Oryzias latipes: one gene and its partners. The protein of the gene in region 4 purifies or fractionates together with the protein of the main gene of each other region. This does not show direct contact. Links are inferred from orthologs where the notes say so. Each region holds a gene or a part of one and is shown on either strand. Other genes may lie near its edges.

The links.
Region 1: the proteins of rfc4 (region 4) and ATPase family AAA domain-containing protein 5 purify together in Homo sapiens (affinity purification with mass spectrometry; 5 studies listed by BioGRID and IntAct, counting the BioPlex papers as one, with this or other methods). This does not show direct contact. The link is inferred for Oryzias latipes from reciprocal best matches to the Homo sapiens genes RFC4 and ATAD5.
Region 2: the proteins of rfc4 (region 4) and rfc1 fractionate together in Homo sapiens (co-fractionation; 7 studies listed by BioGRID and IntAct, counting the BioPlex papers as one, with this or other methods). This does not show direct contact. The link is inferred for Oryzias latipes from reciprocal best matches to the Homo sapiens genes RFC4 and RFC1.
Region 3: the proteins of rfc4 (region 4) and hnrnpu fractionate together in Homo sapiens (co-fractionation; 3 studies listed by BioGRID and IntAct, with this or other methods). This does not show direct contact. The link is inferred for Oryzias latipes from reciprocal best matches to the Homo sapiens genes RFC4 and HNRNPU.

Annotation. Positions count from the first base shown.
Region 1 is NC_019866.2:13,220,988-13,225,695, forward strand, and holds the start of ATPase family AAA domain-containing protein 5, read right to left. Parts: upstream 2,944-4,708; 5' UTR 2,632-2,943; intron 2,211-2,631; 5' UTR 2,198-2,210; coding exon 2,147-2,197; intron 1,773-2,146; coding exon 196-1,772; intron 74-195; coding exon 1-73. UniProt on the Homo sapiens protein: Has an important role in DNA replication and in maintaining genome integrity during replication stress.
Region 2 is NC_019859.2:13,023,218-13,027,772, reverse strand, and holds the start of rfc1 (replication factor C subunit 1), read left to right. Parts: upstream 1-1,277; 5' UTR 1,278-1,404; coding exon 1,405-1,407; intron 1,408-1,764; coding exon 1,765-1,881; intron 1,882-1,976; coding exon 1,977-2,052; intron 2,053-2,814; coding exon 2,815-2,928; intron 2,929-3,010; coding exon 3,011-3,285; intron 3,286-3,383; coding exon 3,384-3,458; intron 3,459-4,330; coding exon 4,331-4,408; intron 4,409-4,487; coding exon 4,488-4,555. UniProt on the Homo sapiens protein: Subunit of the replication factor C (RFC) complex which acts during elongation of primed DNA templates by DNA polymerases delta and epsilon, and is necessary for ATP-dependent loading of proliferating cell nuclear antigen (PCNA) onto primed DNA.
Region 3 is NC_019882.2:13,244,934-13,249,582, reverse strand, and holds the start of hnrnpu (heterogeneous nuclear ribonucleoprotein U), read left to right. Parts: upstream 1-1,704; 5' UTR 1,705-1,866; coding exon 1,867-2,299; intron 2,300-3,403; coding exon 3,404-3,518; intron 3,519-4,649. UniProt on the Homo sapiens protein: DNA- and RNA-binding protein involved in several cellular processes such as nuclear chromatin organization, telomere-length regulation, transcription, mRNA alternative splicing and stability, Xist-mediated transcriptional silencing and mitotic cell progression.
Region 4 is NC_019862.2:1,765,474-1,770,187, reverse strand, and holds the start of rfc4 (replication factor C subunit 4), read left to right. Parts: upstream 1-1,735; 5' UTR 1,736-1,881; intron 1,882-2,912; 5' UTR 2,913-2,920; coding exon 2,921-3,030; intron 3,031-3,625; coding exon 3,626-3,704; intron 3,705-3,961; coding exon 3,962-4,041; intron 4,042-4,148; coding exon 4,149-4,268; intron 4,269-4,714. UniProt on the Homo sapiens protein: Subunit of the replication factor C (RFC) complex which acts during elongation of primed DNA templates by DNA polymerases delta and epsilon, and is necessary for ATP-dependent loading of proliferating cell nuclear antigen (PCNA) onto primed DNA.

The DNA of each region.
Region 1 (4,708 bases), on a different chromosome or scaffold from region 4:
AGAGGAGGCTTTGTCCACTTCCCCGTCATCCTCTGCCGCAGATCTATTTTTATTAACTCTACTAAATTTAATTCTTTTTTTTTTTTAGGAGAAAAGAAAAACAAAATTAGGGGGATGCAAATACTGCAAGTGTGAACAGAAAAAAAAATGCCCAAAAGCACCTTTACTTAAGGACAGTTTAAATGGATGCATCACCTGATTGGACTTTGCTTGGTATCTGGTGAGCTTATGATCTCTGCCACAAACACACAGTACTTGGACTTGCGTGTCTTGGAAGGCACCAGCTTTAGAGGGCTTTCCTGTGATATGGAAGGAGTCACGGCCTCATTAGACGCCTGTTGTCTCCTTGTTTTTCTGACAGGAGTCGTTGGCGTGCTCTGAGACGTTTGTCGAATGACGGCCTCTCGTTTGGATCTCCTCGTGACTGGCACAGGTGGAGCAGCTGCGGCGTCTGTCACATCTGGACCTGCAGGCAAAGTATTGGCCGCCTCGTTTTTCTCTGTAGCTTCAATCCTTCCCTTTTTCGGCCGTTTCTTTGTGGCTTCTTTCTTCTCTCGTTGGGTTTCCTCGACCGTAGGCTGCATGATCAGATCCTCACCATCAGCCGTTTTGCCTGCAGCATTCGGCGTTTTCTCTGCGGCTTCTTTCTGTTTACCTTGGCTCCTGACAGGTTTACTTTTGGGCCCATCCACGCCGGGCTGCTTGAAAGCTGCCATGAACTGTTTTCTCTCCGCTTCACTGCACTTTGGAGCGGATTCGCTTTCAAGCACAGAGAGCTCGAGATCTTCCTCCTGAAGAACCACGTTGGATTTCCGCTTCACGGTGGGAGAAGAAAGCTTGGGTCCTGAATCAGTGTGGGGAGATGTGCTGGTCTCTACGGGACTATTAGAGCTTCGTTTCTGGTTGAAGATTGAAGCCAGTTTTCCAACTCTTTTGACGTCTTCCCTGTCGGGTGAGATTGCGTGCACTTCTGCTTGTATGGTGACAGTTCGAGGCGAGATCTGCAGAGGAGACGCCAACAAATCTACGTGTTGTTCAGCTGTGGGGATATCCAACTGCTCAGCCTTTGTCTTCTCTTCTGACATCGTTTTAATGCCTTCATCATCGCTTTTGTTGTCTTCATTCTTGCTTTGACTGCGCAGAAACTCCTCGAATGAGATTTTGACCGTGCTGTCTTTAATACATGCGGCCTCTTCATCACTGGCCTTCAAACTAACATCACACTCTGCTTCTTTCTCTGGCTCGGAAGGATTTTGCTTCTTCTTCCTTTGTTTTTGTGAAGCTTTAGTAGATTTTGATTCATTTCTTGGAGTCAATTCAGAAGTTTGAAGTGCTGATTCAGACTTTATATCCTTTTTCTGAGGTTGATCGCTTTCTGACGAATCAACAGTAGACTGTAGATCTGCTGCAGAGTCTGTGTTTTCAGGGGCTTCTTCAACTATCATGCAGTCCACATCACCGATACTTTCAGCGGGTACGAGCTGCCTGGCACCTCTCCCACTCTTTTTACCACGTTTCTGAGACGGCGCTCTCTTTCCTTCTGACTTTCTTTGTTTTTCCTCCTCTTGAGACTCCTGACACTTTTCTAAAGACGGCTCGGGCGGGCATGTCTGTTCTTTAGACGAGGAAGCTTTTCGACAAAAATAGCTCATAATATTATTGGAGTGAGGAGGAGAAAAGGGTTTCTCCACCGGCTTAGGCACAGGAGAGAAATAGTTTGTGATTGGCTTGGCAGCAGGACCACCACTATCTTTGCGAGACTTCTTGCCAGGCTGTTGAAGGAAAGACAAAGTGATTATTTTTTTACGGTATAGATTTCAGTGGAAACAAACACAACAAAACAGCCTAAACACCACAACTGCCTATCATAGCCTTAATGCACAGGTCTCAACAATAGTTTTAGATTTATATGAAATATAACTGCATAACTTAGGGCCAAGCATGACAGAGTTCATAAAAATAATTATTTAAAATTCAAAGCAAAAACAAAATAAACAATTTGACAGATGTTAAGAACATGTGAGACAGACGTGCCTCCATGAATCAACTACATACATAAAATACATAACATGGATTCACAGGACACCCGCTGACGTATGACTAAGAGTTTATGGAAAGAAAAACCAGCTTGCTGTTGTTTCTCTACCTGGGTGTCAAAGTCCTCAATGACAGAGGCCATAGCCACAACACCAGCCATAATCTGACAGGACCTGAAGCAAAGCAAAACATAAAAACTGAATTAGAGCAAATATACACATACAAAGATACAAAAAAAAAAACTGCTGTTTTTTTATTTTTAATTTAAATCAAATCTTTTGGACGTTTTTCCCTAGTAGAAACAGGCAAGCCTTAGCCTAAAAGTGTCACTTGACTTGGACATACAGTAAAAAGGAAGCTAATGCTTAAACTTATCTGTTTAGGCAAAATTTTGGCCCATTGTTAGGTTTCATTTTTTTAGCAACCGTTTATCATGTTTCACAGAATTGTAAGGTGGGGTTTTTGGACGTTCATAAAAAATATATTTTTGAAAATATATCATCAGTAACATAATATGCCCAAAACTGAAACATTGTAAATAAATGCTAGCAATACTAGCCCATTCATTGATGTCGAATCCGCCACTTGTTTTACCTGTGAGGTTGTTTAAGCTTCTTTATATTGTTCTGCTCCAAGACCACTCCACCATTGTCATCGGTTTCACTGTAAAACAACAAGCTAGCAGATTTCGGCGAATAATAGTTTCATAGTTCCCGCGAAAGCTTCAAATATTTTACCGCCTTATGAGAAGCAAAAGGCCACCGTGTTCTACTCACGGTCTATAAAATAGTAAGCGCCCCAATTAGAAAAAAATATGTGTATATATATTCTCTTGACATAAACAGTCCATTCAAAAACGCGCCAGACTGACCGAGAGTGAAAAGCGCCAAATAAATGTGACCTTTGACAGGACACTCGTCCACCAATCACAAGACGGAGATCGATTTCGTCATATTGTGACGTAGTTTACCCCAAACAAAGATGGCGTGCGGACTTGCAATTTACTGATACTGAAACATTTAGAGCGCCCTCTAAAGACAACACTGTCGCAATGTTCATATGGGTTTTTCTGCTCCATCAGATTCGGAATTTTTTAAACCTCTGAATTTTTTTTTAACCCTTGATTTTCAAACAGCAAAATGTTATGCCCTGTTATTTTCTCTCTCAAATGTTTCAATATTTTTAATTTCGAGGCACAACATTTCAATGTCCTAGAAATTCGTTGTAAAAAATCGATGGAAAAAAACTTTGCTCACTAAAATAATTAGTCAATAAGAAGATACCAATAATATCCTACTGGTGGGTCATGATGAATTTAACCTTAAATATAACCTTGCTGTTCCTCCAAGAGAGCATGCCATTTTTTTTGACGCCGTTACCACTGAAATCTGTGAACTCTTTAAAAATACTGTACTTGATGCAAATATTTCCTTCATATCTCTAAGTGACACCACTATTGGAAAATCTTGTTTCAACTGTGCCCGAAAAAAATAACAAGATCATACGTGTCCTGTTTCAGCAAAATGTTTTTTCTGTTCCCTCTGCTGTTTTTTAATGGAGAAAATTTATTCCTGACTTGCCCTGGAAAAATGTTTGGACCCTGCATCAGAAATTATTAATAAATAACAACATGAGAGACGTCTCCTACAAACTCCTACATAGAATCTATCCCACTAATCAATACATGCTCAGATATAAGAAGACTATATTGACCCCAACTCTACCTTTTGTTAAGAACACCCAGAAACAATCAGTCACCTATTTTGGAACTGTAATAAAAAACTTTGGAAAGAGTGTGCACGTTTTTTAAATTACAAATTAGATTCACAATATCAGATGAAATTTGAACATATCATATTTGGCCTACACGAAAAAAACACAAGATCAAATGTAAAATTGGCAATTAATCTACTTATATTTGGTAAATTTCATATTCACAAATCAAAGTTTTCCTTATCACAACTTTTACCCCCTGTAATAATTAAAGAATTAGAATCTTATCTACATGCTATTTCTAATAGCTTAAAAAAAGCCATACATATTTATGAAAACTGTCTGTCTTTGAACATTTTTAATGCATAGCAATCTGTTTCTGTAATATTTCTTTTGTAGCACATGTACCCTCCCCTGGCATTCCTGTTGTTATGACTATTGTTCTTGTCATAGATATTTGTTCTATTTGTTTTGAAAAATAAAGTTTAAGAAAAAATAAGAAGATAGGGAAACCCAGCCAATCAAATCATGACACAGATGTGACGTCAGCGTTTGCCACGTTCTATTGGGTCCCATGATGGCAGCAAACATATTGTATTAGTGCTACAAAACAAATAAACGATTAATGATTAATGCTTTCAATGATTGTATCCAGGAAGGTTGTCTAACTCCATCTATGAAAACTTACTCCCTGAACCAAATAAGAACTTGACAAAATTAGATAATAGGAGGCCCATCACACTGCTGTGTAATGATTATAAACTATTGGCACTGGTGTATGTGAACAGGATAAAAAGGCTTCTAGACAAAGTAAAAGATGAATTTCAATCTGCCTTTATATAAAAAAGAAACATATATAATAATATTAGATCGATTCTGGATCAATCTGTGCTGAAAACAGCAAGTCTCATTTTCTTTATAGACCATTTTAAAGCCTTTGATTCTGTAGAACAAAACT
Region 2 (4,555 bases), on a different chromosome or scaffold from region 4:
TGTGAGCGAAAGGACCACTGTGGTGGAGTCAGCCAGTGAATAAATGTTCAGATTCTGCTATGACCAATAAAATAACCTTTTTCCAGCTCGATTGATCTCTTGTTGTCTGTGTAATTGTTCTTTGCTTGATTAGAGAAAGCTGTGCATTTAAGGTTTAAGTCATCAAGAAGGTTTTAGCAGAAAACTGGACTCGGCTTTGATCCAAAGTTCCTAAAGACATAAAATGAGAGTATTGAGAAACTCATCAGTGTGACAGTATAAAAGAAGCAGGTGAGGGATTATTTATCAAAATATAAGGACAGCTTTAAATTGAATGATTTTCACAAAAACTTTGGGGGAAAACTGGTTTCCGTCATGCATCATTTACATGGATCAAGTCATTTTAAACATTTTCTGTCTTATTTTACATTAACCTTTGGTTATAAGATGGAGTTGTCTTTGTAAATGTTGGACAGACGGAAATGTGACAAATACATTTTATGGTTAAAATAAATTGTCCAGCTTTCTGTTTTGTGATCTCGACTGTCATCCACTGAAGCAAAGTGGAGCAGTTCCATCATCTGCCCATTTTAGTCCTAATTTAAGGCTGTTTATCTGAAAGTAGCTGAGCTCCGTTTGTTGCCGACATCTAATGAAAGCTTTATTAAAGACAACAGTTGTGATCTGAACTAAAATGTGGTAAAGTTTGGTCAGAGGTATAAAATTAGTCACACATACTGAAGGAATTGTTGAATGTTTTTTGTAAAAGTGTTCAAATTGGCCTTTATCTTTCAAAAAAAAAAAATTATCTGACAATCCTCTGTAAACAGCTAAAAATGTCTTCAATTTAGAGGCCAGCCATGTCAATGAATTGTTTATCTTGCCTCCTAATATTCTGGACATAATTTTTCTATTGTACCGTTTTCAAACTTTATATTTATTCTAGTGTAAAGCTGAATTATAAATACACAATAGAAAGTATACGCAGGCTTATTTGTGAGGAGAGATTTGTATTGACTGGACTGAAAATAAAAGTGAGAAACTGTTTATGAGGCACTTTAAAAGAAAGGGAAAACAAGCTTTACTACACATGAAAATGTCAAAAGCATTTTTACTTTTTTTAAATAAATCTTTAAAGTTAACTTGGTGCAGATCATTTATCAACTAAGATGTAGCTAGAAAACCACTTAAATTATCTTTTTAGCGGCAGAAAGACGTTTATATTCAAATGAGAAGTTTTGTCTAAAATGATTTTAAATGTATGTGTGATGAATTTCTCAAGACGCTGGTTGGATGACGCAGTGACGCAGCCAGCATCCGGTGCGTCATCTCCTAGCGACTGCAGACTTGGCGCCAAGTAGTTGGGAGTTTTTATTATTTTGCTGATAACAAACTGTGAGGTTTCCTTGTGGAATTATCTCCAACATGGTATGTTACACACCGTTATGGTTTCCACCTCACACAGAAAGCGAACGCATGTGAGCAAAGTCTGACATTGAGGAGAAACTGGATGCTAAGCAGATGTTGTCGCGCGCTTCTGCTGTGGGTTAGCTAAAACAGTTTTAAGACAATTGACTTGTTGACCTACATTTTTTATTTTAATATAGGAACAGGTTATTGCACAGCAGCTATAATTTACCGGATGTTTTAATAATTAAATCCGCACATTTGTAGTTTAAATTTAATTAATCCTTGAAGAGATGCAGGGATTTTTTTTTTGCACACTGAAGTACAGATTATTGATTTGTTAAAATAGCCTCAAAGTTCCTTTGCTTCTGCATTCAGGATATAAGGCGGTTCTTTGGACCGACATCAGGGAAACCTGCGGTGCAGAAACCAGCGCCAAACACCAAAGCAGAGGAGAAGAAGAACCTCAACTCCTCTGATGTGAAAAGAACCAAGGTTGATACTCTTGTGTTTTCATTTTTACTTCTACACTAAGTGCTGTTCCTGCACATGTTTGGGATTTTGAGCTTCTCTTGTGTTATCTCATGTAGGTCAAAAGCTCCAAAACAGAGGAGCGACGCAAAGACAGTGAGAAAAAGCGCAAGAAGTATTCTGTCATAGCATCAGGTAGGAAAGACTCTGGATGACCTAATGGGCGTGGCTTAAAGTCACGAGATGACCTCTGTGATTTAACAGCACTGGATGGGGGGCCAACTCCAGGTCTCCCTGTGCTGGTCCCCAGCCCGGATAAAATACAGGGTTGTGTCAGGAAGGGCATCCGGCCTAAAAAAAAGTCTCTGCCAAACCAAATGTGTGACTCAGTGAAAGCTGATTCGCAGCAGCGACCTCTGACAGGATGTGTCAAAAGGTGAACAACGAGTGTAATATGTCTTTGAGTGGTGCAGTGTCTCTCAGCATCACTATATAATAATGTCAAAGAAAAAGTGAGAGGCTGGCTGAGAGGTTCATATGTGATGCAGGAAGCATCAAGCAGAAATAAACATACATAGTTATACCAAACCTACCTACCAAACCACAAGTTCATTAGAAAATAAAAGAAGATTATGCTATTGTCTTGACATTATAATTACTCCTAATCATAAATAAACATAGTTGCACGTATGCATACAGTATGACACACATGACACATTAAATAGGATTATTAAATAATAGTTTAAAATAGCTTTAAAGGCAGAATTTATACAATCACAGCCCTATTATGATTTACTTACCTTTAAAGAAGGTATGAAGTTCCTTCATAAAATCAACATTTTATTTTAGTGTCAAAGGAAATTGTGAATCCTTGACTTAAAACAGCTAAAAGGTAAATATTATTTCAGATCCTATTTTTAAAAAGCTTGAAGGATAAATTCTTGTTGTTTTGTTCAGATTCAGAAGAAGAGGAGAAACCTGCAACAAAGTCTAAGAAATCTTCTAAATCGACGAGCAGCAAAGCAGAGCCTCTTCCTAAAAAAGACCCAGTGCAGTACGTCTCTGAAACAGGTGAGGCCTTTCTTCATCCAACGTCCTCCAGATTCAATAAGCTAAAAAGCCGATTTTCTGACGTCTGTTTTTGTGCTTTTAGACTCGGACAGCGACAACTTTCAGTCGCTGAAGAAAGGAGCCAAACCCAAACAGAACGGTTCTCCTAAAAGCAATAAGGCGGACGCAGAACGTTCTCGCTCAGGATCCAAAGCCTCTCCTGTCACAGGAAAATCTGGGCTAAAGAGTCCCACAACCCCCAAGTCTGTTGCACCACCTCCACCCAAACTAACTCCTACCTCAGTGGCGGATTATTTCGGCGGTGCTGCTATTCATCGCTCAGAAAAGAAGCTGGTAGCCAGCGCCAAGAGAAAAGCTGTGAGTGCTGATGAATCCTCCTCATTCTTCTCCTCCAGCTTTCAGGACTCTCATTTGTTTTACAACAATCCAGCTTCACTATAACTCCTGTCTTCCAGCCAACACAAGACTTTGAGGATCTGATAAGTGATGAGGAAATCGCCCGACAGTTGCAGGTGGAAGAAGAGATGGAGGTGAGCAGATCATCAAACACTCCGGCGTAAAAACAGAAGCAGAAGTTAGTGATTCAGGAATCTGTACACTAAGTTTACTCCTAGAGTTCACTCTAAAGAAAGTGCTCGGATCAAAACACAGACTTCCTCTAGGTTTGAAACTCTATCTTTTCGATTTCCAACACTTCCAATCAAGCTTTATTTATAAAATCCTTTTCATACAAAAGCAGCTGAAAAGGCTCCAAACATCAAATGTGAAACGTCATAGAGCTTCACTCCAAATGATACCACGGGTATAGACTCCAGGCCTCATTAACCAGTGTCCTACTTGTTTTTTCATCCAAGCTGCCGTTGTAGCTTTTAATTGGCAAAACAAACCTGATTCAGGTAACCATGGCAACAGGCATTTCAGGGTTTCTGAACAACAGGTTGCCGGCCCTCGAGGGCTCGAGTCCAACACCTCAGGTGTAGAAGATCCCAATGAGGAAAAGGACTGGAATAAAAAAAAGTGTAAGAAAACAGAACAAATGGAACAGAAAAATGAATAGAAAACATAAATAGCGACTCTGACAAAGACAGAAGACATCTGTCGAAACATGTAAGTTATGTGAAAAAATACAACCGTGTCTGATAGTAGAACATCAACTTTGGTAGAATATAGGGATAGAATTTTAAAAATTGCACAAAAATTGTCAAATTTGAATTGAAAAAAATGTAATTTAAAATAATAGAAGTAAAAAAATAAAAAAAAATTAAAAATTTTAGCTATACGTATGTTTATGTTATTATTAAGATTGTCATTTGTTCTCGGTGTATAAATGCTGAACTGGATCGCTACACTTCTTCTCGACGTAACTTATTCATTTTTTTTTTTCCACTTGTTCTTCATTTAGCTGGAAAAACAAGTCCATGAGGATGAGGAGTTTGCCAGGACGCTCGCCTTGATGGACTCGGAGCCGCAGGCCAAGAAGGTACTGAGAACAATCCCAGAGGAACATCTTCACTTTAGTGGAATCCTTTAATGAGCATTTAAAACTTTTTTTCATTTAGGCTCGTAAAAACGCGGATGAAAAACAAAGCACAACTCCCAAAAAGAGTGTTGGCGATGCTGCTGCAGA
Region 3 (4,649 bases), on a different chromosome or scaffold from region 4:
GTTGATATGCAAATATACTTTTAGTTTCAAAGCAATCTTTATAATTAAACAAACAAAGTGCTTTGAAACTAATCAGAGGCTAAAAAACAGACCAAAAAAATACTAACAGTAAAACTTGAATATGAGGATTAAACTACATTTCTTACAGCAGAAAAAAACCCGGAAATTTTACAACCTGCTGATCAATGACAAAGACTGTCACCTTGTAAATTGCAAAGTGAAATTAGTGCTTATGTACCAAAAACAGTCAAATTTGAACAGTAAAACAACAGCTAAAAATATTTACATTTTAAAGAACACAAATTTGGAATTAGAAAGTGTCATTTTGATAATCATTTAATCTATAGTAAAAGTGTTCCCAGTGATCTTTTAATTATGATTATGCTGTTTTTAGCCTAAATCAAAAAACCTGTGTTGTTTTTCTAGAACATAGTTTCTGCAGACCACCAGTAGTTTTTCAGAAATTCACCTCTGAGTTGTGGACAGAACTGATGAAGTCTTCCCTCATTTCCAGTCATCCATTTGTTACATGCTCTCCCACTAGCTTACAGCCCCTCGCAACCCAACCTAACGTCAGGTTGCAACAACAATGGCAGGCAATATTGGAGCTATCCAGCAGTACAGTTTTAAGCCAGATGCCAGCTCAGACGAGGAAAAGAAAGACGTACACAGATCTAGCCGTCTACAGGTTCATGCGTCAGAATGGAGCAGAGCAGGAAGCTTGTGGCCAGACAACTGTAGCATCAGAGCTACAAGCTTTTTTAGACTGGATTTCTTTTCTATTCCTGATTCACAACTTTGAATAAAGAAATACTCAGAACTGAATTTTCTTTATATATGTCCTCCATCATTAGAAAATTCATTCATCTTCCTCTGTTTATCCCTTTTGGAGTCACGGGGCTGCTGTAGCCTATCCCGGCCACTTATGGGCGAAGGCAGGGGACTCCCTGGACAGGTCGCCAGTCTGTCGCTGGGTCACACATTTCACACACCCACATTCACACCTATGGACAATTTAGAGTGACCTATGAAGCATGTTTTTGGATGGTGGGTGGAAGCTGGAGTCACCGGAGAAAACCCACACATGCACGGGGAGAACATGCAAACTCCACACAGAAAGGTCCCCCATTGATGTTCTGTTTCAGGTCCCCCAGCCGGACTTGAACCAGGGGCCTTCTTGCTGTGAGGCAAGAGCGCTAAACACTACACCACAGTGCAGCCCATCATCATTGGAAAATGCTTAAAGAAAATTTTAAAAACACATAAAAGAAAAGCATGCTTTTCAATGGAGTGGGTCTTTGATAAGAAAAGTTGGGAGATAAAATTCAATAATTCTGCTGCCATGCACAGTGGTGGAAGTGTAGTCATGAGGTGACTAAGTACCAACATTCCAAAGAGAGTTCATAATAAAAGACCAAAGCTGCAAAGGAAATTTCCATTGAAACTGGTATTAAATTTCAACATTAACTGTAGTTTGTCCCGTTTTGTTGCTGAGGCCCAAATTAAGCTGTCATTTAAAAAAGGAAACTTTTTTTCTCTTTTTTAGCAAATAAGTGGACAATATTTCTCTGCAATAATGTATAATGTGTTTGTAAGATAAGTATAGATGTTTTCTTGTGTGACAGTAGCAGATGGCAGGTTTACCAGAAGAGGGAAAAAACCCGCTGCGCCATTTATTCAGTGATTACGGTAGGAGAGAGGCCGTCCTCCTCCCCTCCCCACTCAACCGCCGTTTCAGCGCAGCTCTCCGCCGGCGAAGACTTCTCGGACAGCGGGTGCTATTTTGGCGCAGTTTCCTGTCTATAGGCGTTCAGTTATTTATTTATCGTCGATTTTTTAAAAACTGTTTGTACTCTTGCATTCAAAATGAGCACAATTAACGTGAAAAAGCTGAAAGTGAACGAGCTGAAAGACGAGCTGAAGAAGCGTAATCTGTCGGACAAGGGGCTGAAGGCCGAGCTGATGGACCGCCTGCAGGCCGCGCTCGACGAGGAGGCCCTGGTCGGGGATTCTTCTGCGGCCCAGGAGGGATCGGAGGAGGAAACCCTCGAACAGGCCGCCGAACAGGAGGTGATGGGAGAGGAAGAGGAAGGCGACGGCCCGATAGAAGAGAGCATGGAGGCTAATGAGGAAGAACAGGATAATGATAATGGGGACGAGGGCAATGGCGTAGCGGATGACGAAGACATGGGTGAGGGGGAAGAAGGCGACGAAGACGACGAGATGCTGAAGGGAGATGTGGACGACATGGAAAAAATTGACACGGAGGATGGTGAGCCCGGGGAGCAAGCTGCTGAGGGTGAGTCTGGTGAAGTGATGCTGAAAAGGTGGCTGGCTGAATGGACTGTGGCTGGCTGTTTTTTTTTTTCGGGGGCTGGTTGCGAAGATTTTAGCGCGTTACCAAGGAGCGTCCATGTTGAACACGGCGGCGTGATTCAAGCTAGTTAGCATTAGCAGCTAGCATCGGTCACCTCCTCTTAGTTAATCGTTTTGTAACTCTAATTACGCGTTACCATATTCTCTCAGGCACGTTTTAAAGAGTCGTTTCAAAAACACAATTTAAAGTTTAGTAATAGTTTTAATTAAATTTATATGCCGAGAACCGTCCTTTTTGGTTGACCTTTAAGCTTTTTCTTTCGATTTTGTAAGGTGTGTTAGCTTGTCAGCTAGCGCGATTTCCTTTGTTTCTGGTGTAGTGCTAACAAGCTAATTTAGCAGGGTTAGCCATTTCAGATTTTCCCTTCCTGTTAAGACATAAAGGGGGAATTTGCAAGCCACAAATCTTGTATCTTACTGTCATTTGTACAATCTCACTGGAATTACTTTTGAAACATTTCATTTCCCAGTCTGCACAAATAAAATAAACAGGAGAATATCTGCGATGGCTAACCCCAAATTTAAATAGTGGTAGCTCAGCTGGTTCTGCTGCTTTTGTTTAGCTAGTTTTTTTTGTCGTGGTTTTTCTGTTTAATAAAGGTTCCAAAATCATACAGTGTAACAAATGGGGAGGTAGTTTAAAACCATATCTAAATAGCCTTACTTGCATGATTTATTTATCCCCCTTAAACAGTAAACTTTCCCTTATAAGTTAATCAAACCCCATTGACAATGGTGTATTTTTCAGACTTTTATTTCGCCCCCACAAAGCATCACTCATTTATTTTATAATTTTTGGCCAGTTTATTGTTTAACTACCTGGTCTTAAAAGCTGTCATAACCATTTGATTGTACTGTATTTTCAGTGTAAGTATAGTGCTGCCTCTTTGAACATTCATATGAATTATGATGGACACAATGTAACTAATGAACGGGCTTTGTGGGCCAGAACCCCACTGCTAGTCCGACCTCTCTCTCTGTCTCAAAAAGGAGCACCTCATTCTATATCTTTGTTCTATTTTCAAAGGGGATGCGGACAAAGACACGAATGCTGATCAGAAGAATAAGAAGGGTGTTAAGAGACGCCGGGAGGAACATGGAAGGGGCTACTTTGAATTTATTGAAGAGAACAAATACAGCTGGTAAGGATGGGACAGAGCAAAATGGCCTTCAGCATCCCTGAAGCGCCATCCATAGCTTTGTTGGATTGTATTGGCTTTAAGTGCCAATGCACACATTTCTAGCAAGAGGAAAACCCTCTGTTTTTTTGTTTAAAATAAAAAGTATTCTCTTATTTAATAACTTTCACACATGTGTTTTCAGGGTCATCCCTGACTACCTAAAGAGCCTTACCATTTACTCTACAATGCCCACTCACATAGCGTCTTTAATGGACTGCATTCTGTAGCAGAAGTGCATCTGTGACTTTTCACATCTGTTCCTCATGCCACTTATTGTTTTGTTTCTTTTGGAAAAGCCCGTTGTGTCCTTAAGGTGAATGGAGGCTACTCTAAGCAAAACCCACAGAGGGAAATAGCAGGTGTACACTTTTTCAAAAGGAGGGGTGGGTTGAGGAAAGTAGCCGAGGGGTCTGAAAGAAAGTAGCACACAAGGATTTAGGAGATTTAAAGAAAAAAATCAAGATTATTGGAGCGTCCACGGAGGAGCTTCGGTAGTGATCGTCCATGTTTTTTCGGAGTGTTCTGCCTTTTTGTTGTTGTTTTCTCTCTATCACACTCTTGTTGCTGTTTCTGTATCATGTTTGTGTAAAATGTCATGTTGTGTGCGTTTGGAAGAGTTTTTATACCCCGCGTTCTGTGACCTCATGCATGGCTTGCAAGGGAGTTCCAGTGTGAGTGTGAACATGAACTTACTTTTTTTGGTCACGTGTGTTGTTTTCATTGCACTACCTGGACGCTGAAGATCGATGGGCACAGCATCAAAAATGTTGGCTGTTTTATTTATTTTTAAATTGTGATCACTTATTTCTGGTTGTGTTAATCCAGGAAAGTCACTTCCTGCTTCTCCAAATTGTCCACTTGACGTTTTTAGGGATTTATCAGTTTAATCTTTGCCCATATTTTCCCTTCTAAACAACATAACCTGCTTTCAAAATAATCTAAAATAATTTTTAAGCTTTAAGGACCTTTGTGGTAAAAGTGGGTTTACATCAGGCCTTTGTGTTAAAGTCCCACTCTGATCATCTTTAGATCTATTTTGTAGGCGTTCCCAGTGGTTTCTTAACCATGAATATAATGTTTTTGTCCAGAAAC
Region 4 (4,714 bases):
CTTATAGCTTTCGTCATTCAGTCATGTCTTTTCCAGTTCATACAAACATGGAAAAATAGTGATTATTACAAACAACAAATATTAGACCCAAACTATTTGACAACAGCACCAAGAAGCACAACCGATGTAAACGAAATCACTAATGTCCTACCAGTCATCAGATATGGGTATATTTGAAAAGAAAAGCCTTACTCCAACTTGAGGATAAAAATGAAAAAATGAGATAATGATCTGCACTTCTCTTTAGGCTGATCCATGGGCTCCGGGTAAAAAATCCCAGACAGAAAGGAGAAAATGGGAAGGCAAAACGTTCTCTCATTTAGGCTGAAATTGTGGAGGAAATGTGGATCCTGCTTCTTGATGCTGCCCTCTCTGTGAAAGAAAAAGCTGAGTCACAAAAGGAGACCTCATCAGACAGCTGCTGTACCTGCCTGCAGGGGGAGGGAAAGCTCTGTGGATGGGGTGGGGTCCAAAAGAGAAACCCTGGTGACTGGAGGCAGGCGGCACATGGACCGGTCTTCATGAAAGGGCTTTTCTTTCTTTCCATGTCATGCTGACCATGAGTCTCTTTATGGTGATGCTTAAGATAATCGCATAGTTCAGTGTCTTTGTGGTCCTGCTTCAGCTTTTCCTGCTTGTTTTATGCAAAGTGGATGGATTTCACCTGGAGGACTCTCTGATTGAGAGATCCAGATCCAGGTTTTGTTGGATGCAAACGATGTTCTAGCTGACGGCTGAAGCCTCTCTGGGGACTGATGTCATTGCAGCACTGACAGCAATTAGCTCTAGACATCTGCTCTGCCTCTTCCTTTCCTCTCAATCAGTGTCCGTCACTATGGTGAAAAACTGAGAACACATGGGGGGAAATTTACAATTTTAGAAATAGCATTTCAATTTAGATTTAGGTATTTTGGCACCCATTTGGTTAGAAATTATCCTAAATATTATCATTATTGTTTGATGTTTTTACATTTGTTTCGACCCATGTGGAGAAAAGGCCGCTTCGATTTGGAGCCGGCTGTTTTTATTTTTTCTCATTTTATTTTCATTTACTTTTCTTAAACTGATTTTTTAAATCAACTTTCAATCAAGAAAAAATGGATGGAAATGTGACAAAGGGGAGTGAAAAAAGGAAGAAAACATGAGTAATGGGGAGAAGAAGAGAACAAAAGGAAAGCAGGGAAAAGAGAGAAGAGAAAGATAAAAATAAAAAAGACACAGAATGACAAAAAATTAAAAAAAAATGGGGAGAGGAAAAGAAAAAAACAGAATTAATTAAAAAGAAAAAAACTGTTTTTTGAAAAGTGCTGGAAGAAACTGAGAGGAAGGTGAGAAATTAAGAAAAAAAACAAAGGAATCAAAAAACAGGAATTAAAAGACGAGAAAATCTGAGAAATGGAAAAATGATAAGATGAGGTAATATAAAAAAGAAAACAGTCAAAGATAGAGGAATAAAAGAGGAGAGAATATAAGTCAGAACATTATTTATTACAATTGAAGAAAAGTAAACAAAAAAGGATGACGAGGGGAGAAAAGACGAATAACAAACGAAGAAAAACCCTGGAAGAAAAGGAGACAGAAGAGAAAAGTAAACACGCACAGCAGAGAAAGAATGGAAAAGAAGAAAACGAGAATGTGTATTTGTCAAAAAGACAAAGAGAAAACAGCCTTCAAACAGGAAATGACGAATCTTTTGGGAATTTGATTGGAAGATCGTCAGCGGAAGTGACGTTCTACGGCGGAAGTGACGTTCTACGGCGGAGCGGGAAACAGCGGCGCTTTGGGGCTGTGGAGCGGTTTTGGAAAGGGGTGTTTATAAAGGCAGAGTTGTCATTGAACGTTGGTGTTTGGTCCTTTCTCTGGACTTTCTGGTAAGATACTGTACGTGCAGCTGTATGAAGAAAAAAGTAGTCTTTTTTGTCAGCTAAAACAGCTCGCGCGCGCGGTTCGTGCTGCTTGCTAGCTTCGACCACAACAACAACAACTTGTGCAAAACGTGTTCAATCGGACGAGTGTAGCAGAGGCTGGGGGAGCATCATCGTTTGGAAAGCTAACGTTTCAGGAAGTCATCATTAAAACTGATACTGGAATTAAATGTATCTGTTTCAATCGTATTAGAAAATAGAGATCTTCACTGCTCGTAACATTATTTTGTTTATAAAGTTTTAATGCAAAATAGCCCTAAATAAGTTGACAATGAATTTGTCATTTTTTAAGTTGTATTTTAGTAGATTAAAAAAAAATATATTACTTGTAAACTAAATTAAGTAGTACTATTTATTTCATTAGAATCTTTCACCGACAGCTGTCACAAAGTGCCTTACAAAAGGAAAATCAGACATAATTTTTAAGCCTCCACTGAAAATGCTATTGTGTCCCTACTAGGGCTGCACGAAATGAGGAAAAACTTGCGATATGAGGGATTAATATTGCGATAACGATATAATTTGCGGTATATAAACAAATAGCGAAACAACCAAAAACATCATTCCCATTTTATTGCAACAGTTTAAGAATTGTACTCCAAATGACCCTCGTTGACATAGGAGGGAACATCTAACATAAAAGGGCTCCATCTGATTGGTCAACAACGCTAAAGGCTCTATCCGATTGGTCAAATGCATAAAGGGATTTATTTGATTCGTTAAATAATTTAAGCTGCCATAAGATTGTTTTAGCACATTTAAGGTAACCATTTATTGCATTTTTTGCTGTGTTTTGCGATATGCAGATTGCACAGCTTGATCTTGCGATAACGATAAATTTGCGGTATATTGTGCAGGCCTAGTCCCTACTGACCAAAAGGTTGCCTTGCCTTGTGCCCCTTTCTACTGTAAGCTCCTCATAGTCGTACGGCTCTGTCGTTGGTGTTTCTCTGGGTTCCTGGCTCATCCGTCCTTCTCTTGATCCAGAAGGAGCCATGCAGGCATTTCTCAAAGGAGCGGGTGTCGGTAAACCTCTGAAGGATAAAGGGCCGGCTGGGCCCAGCGCAGACAAGAAACCAAAGACTGTTCCTTGGGTTGAGAAATAGTAAGTCTTTGTTCTATAAATGAACCTAAAAGCTTCCGTACACTCACGCCGGGACTGACTGCAGTATCACTACACAAACATTAGTGTTGTGTTAACTCTGTAGTTTGTGTCATGTAACATGGAAAAACAGTTGTAGTCTGTTAGTGAATCCTCTTCATGATGGTTTGATGGACAGACTTTCAGCTCATTCTTTGTTTGTTTGATTATTTGGCAAAACAAAAACAAAAAGCAGCCATGTTAGGTTGGGTAATGTTTGGTTTCTTCCATCGTTTTTTCAAACAGTGGCTCAGTCTGATAGCAGTTCCTGTTGCACTTTTATTGATGACTGGATCTAGGATCATTTCAGCCACTGGCACAATGCATATGAATGTGGAAATCCGTGGGATAGATCAGGTTTTCTGACTGACAATAGCAAGTGAAATAAAAAAAACTGACAACTGCATGTTTTGGTTTTCTCAGGTTTCATTTCATACACTAAAGTGTTGTTGTAGAGATGTGTAACCGGCTGCATGTTCACTTGTGAAATAGCTGAAGCTACAATGGGTTCAATACTAAACTCTGAGTTGCTTTACTTCTTTGATTTTCTGTTTTCCAGCAGACCAAAATGCGTGGATGAGGTGGCCTTCCAGGAGGAGGTGGTGGCGGTGCTGAAGAAGTCCCTGGAAGGAGCAGATGTTAGTATCAGAGCTTGATTTCCACTGCAGAGATCAGAGTTTGGGATGGAAGTCTCACCTGCAGAGACCTGAACTTTGTGTCTTTTCTTTAAATCAACATCCTTTTTTCAGATGCAGCTAGTAAGACCTGGTATCTCGTGTTGTCAGATTATTGCAGCAAAGCAAGCATGAGTTTACTCCTCTTCAGTTAGATGAGAACTAACTTTTCAGGCGTTGGAAAAGCCGAGTATCTCACATGTGTGTCATTGTGATTGCAGCTTCCAAACCTGCTGTTCTACGGCCCGCCTGGAACAGGAAAGACTTCTACCATCTTAGCAGCTGCTAGAGAACTTTATGGGTGAGGAAACCACTTCTGACTTTTTAGAAGCTTCCTTTCTTGTCCTTCATTTCTTCCTCACATTCTCCTTCTAACATCCCACTTTCTCTTTTTATATCCCGCTTTAGGCCGGAGCTGTACCGGCAGAGGGTGCTGGAGCTGAACGCCTCGGATGAGCGAGGCATCCAGGTCGTCAGAGAGAAAGTGAAAACCTTTGCTCAGCTTACCGTGGCAGGAACCCGTCCAGAGTGAGCTCATTTCAAATCTAAAGCATTTGGACAGACCCCCACATGCACACACCCACACTGTTTTGATGAATCCAACAGATTAAATCAGTGACTTTGGTGGAAATCCGGGGTGCACATGTGTGCGCCGAACCGTGGCTAGTGATTCGTTGCACCCCTAGAATGAATGGCCATCAAATGTCATGATGGAACACACGTGTGCTACGGTTGGTTGTTGCACCAGGATAACCTCCAAATGTAAGCATCTCATTTTAACGATTTCTGTTGGATGAGTGCTGATGAATCACGGCGGTCAGACGGTAAGACCGTCTACAGATGCCTTTGTGTCAGGGAGGCCTTTGGTCCACATTTCAGTTGTCTTGATGGGAAGCGTCTGGGTTTTATCAGGTGCCAGTCCGTTACTTTTAAAAGGGTTCTGGTATTTAAGCGATGCTTTAACCAGTGGCAAA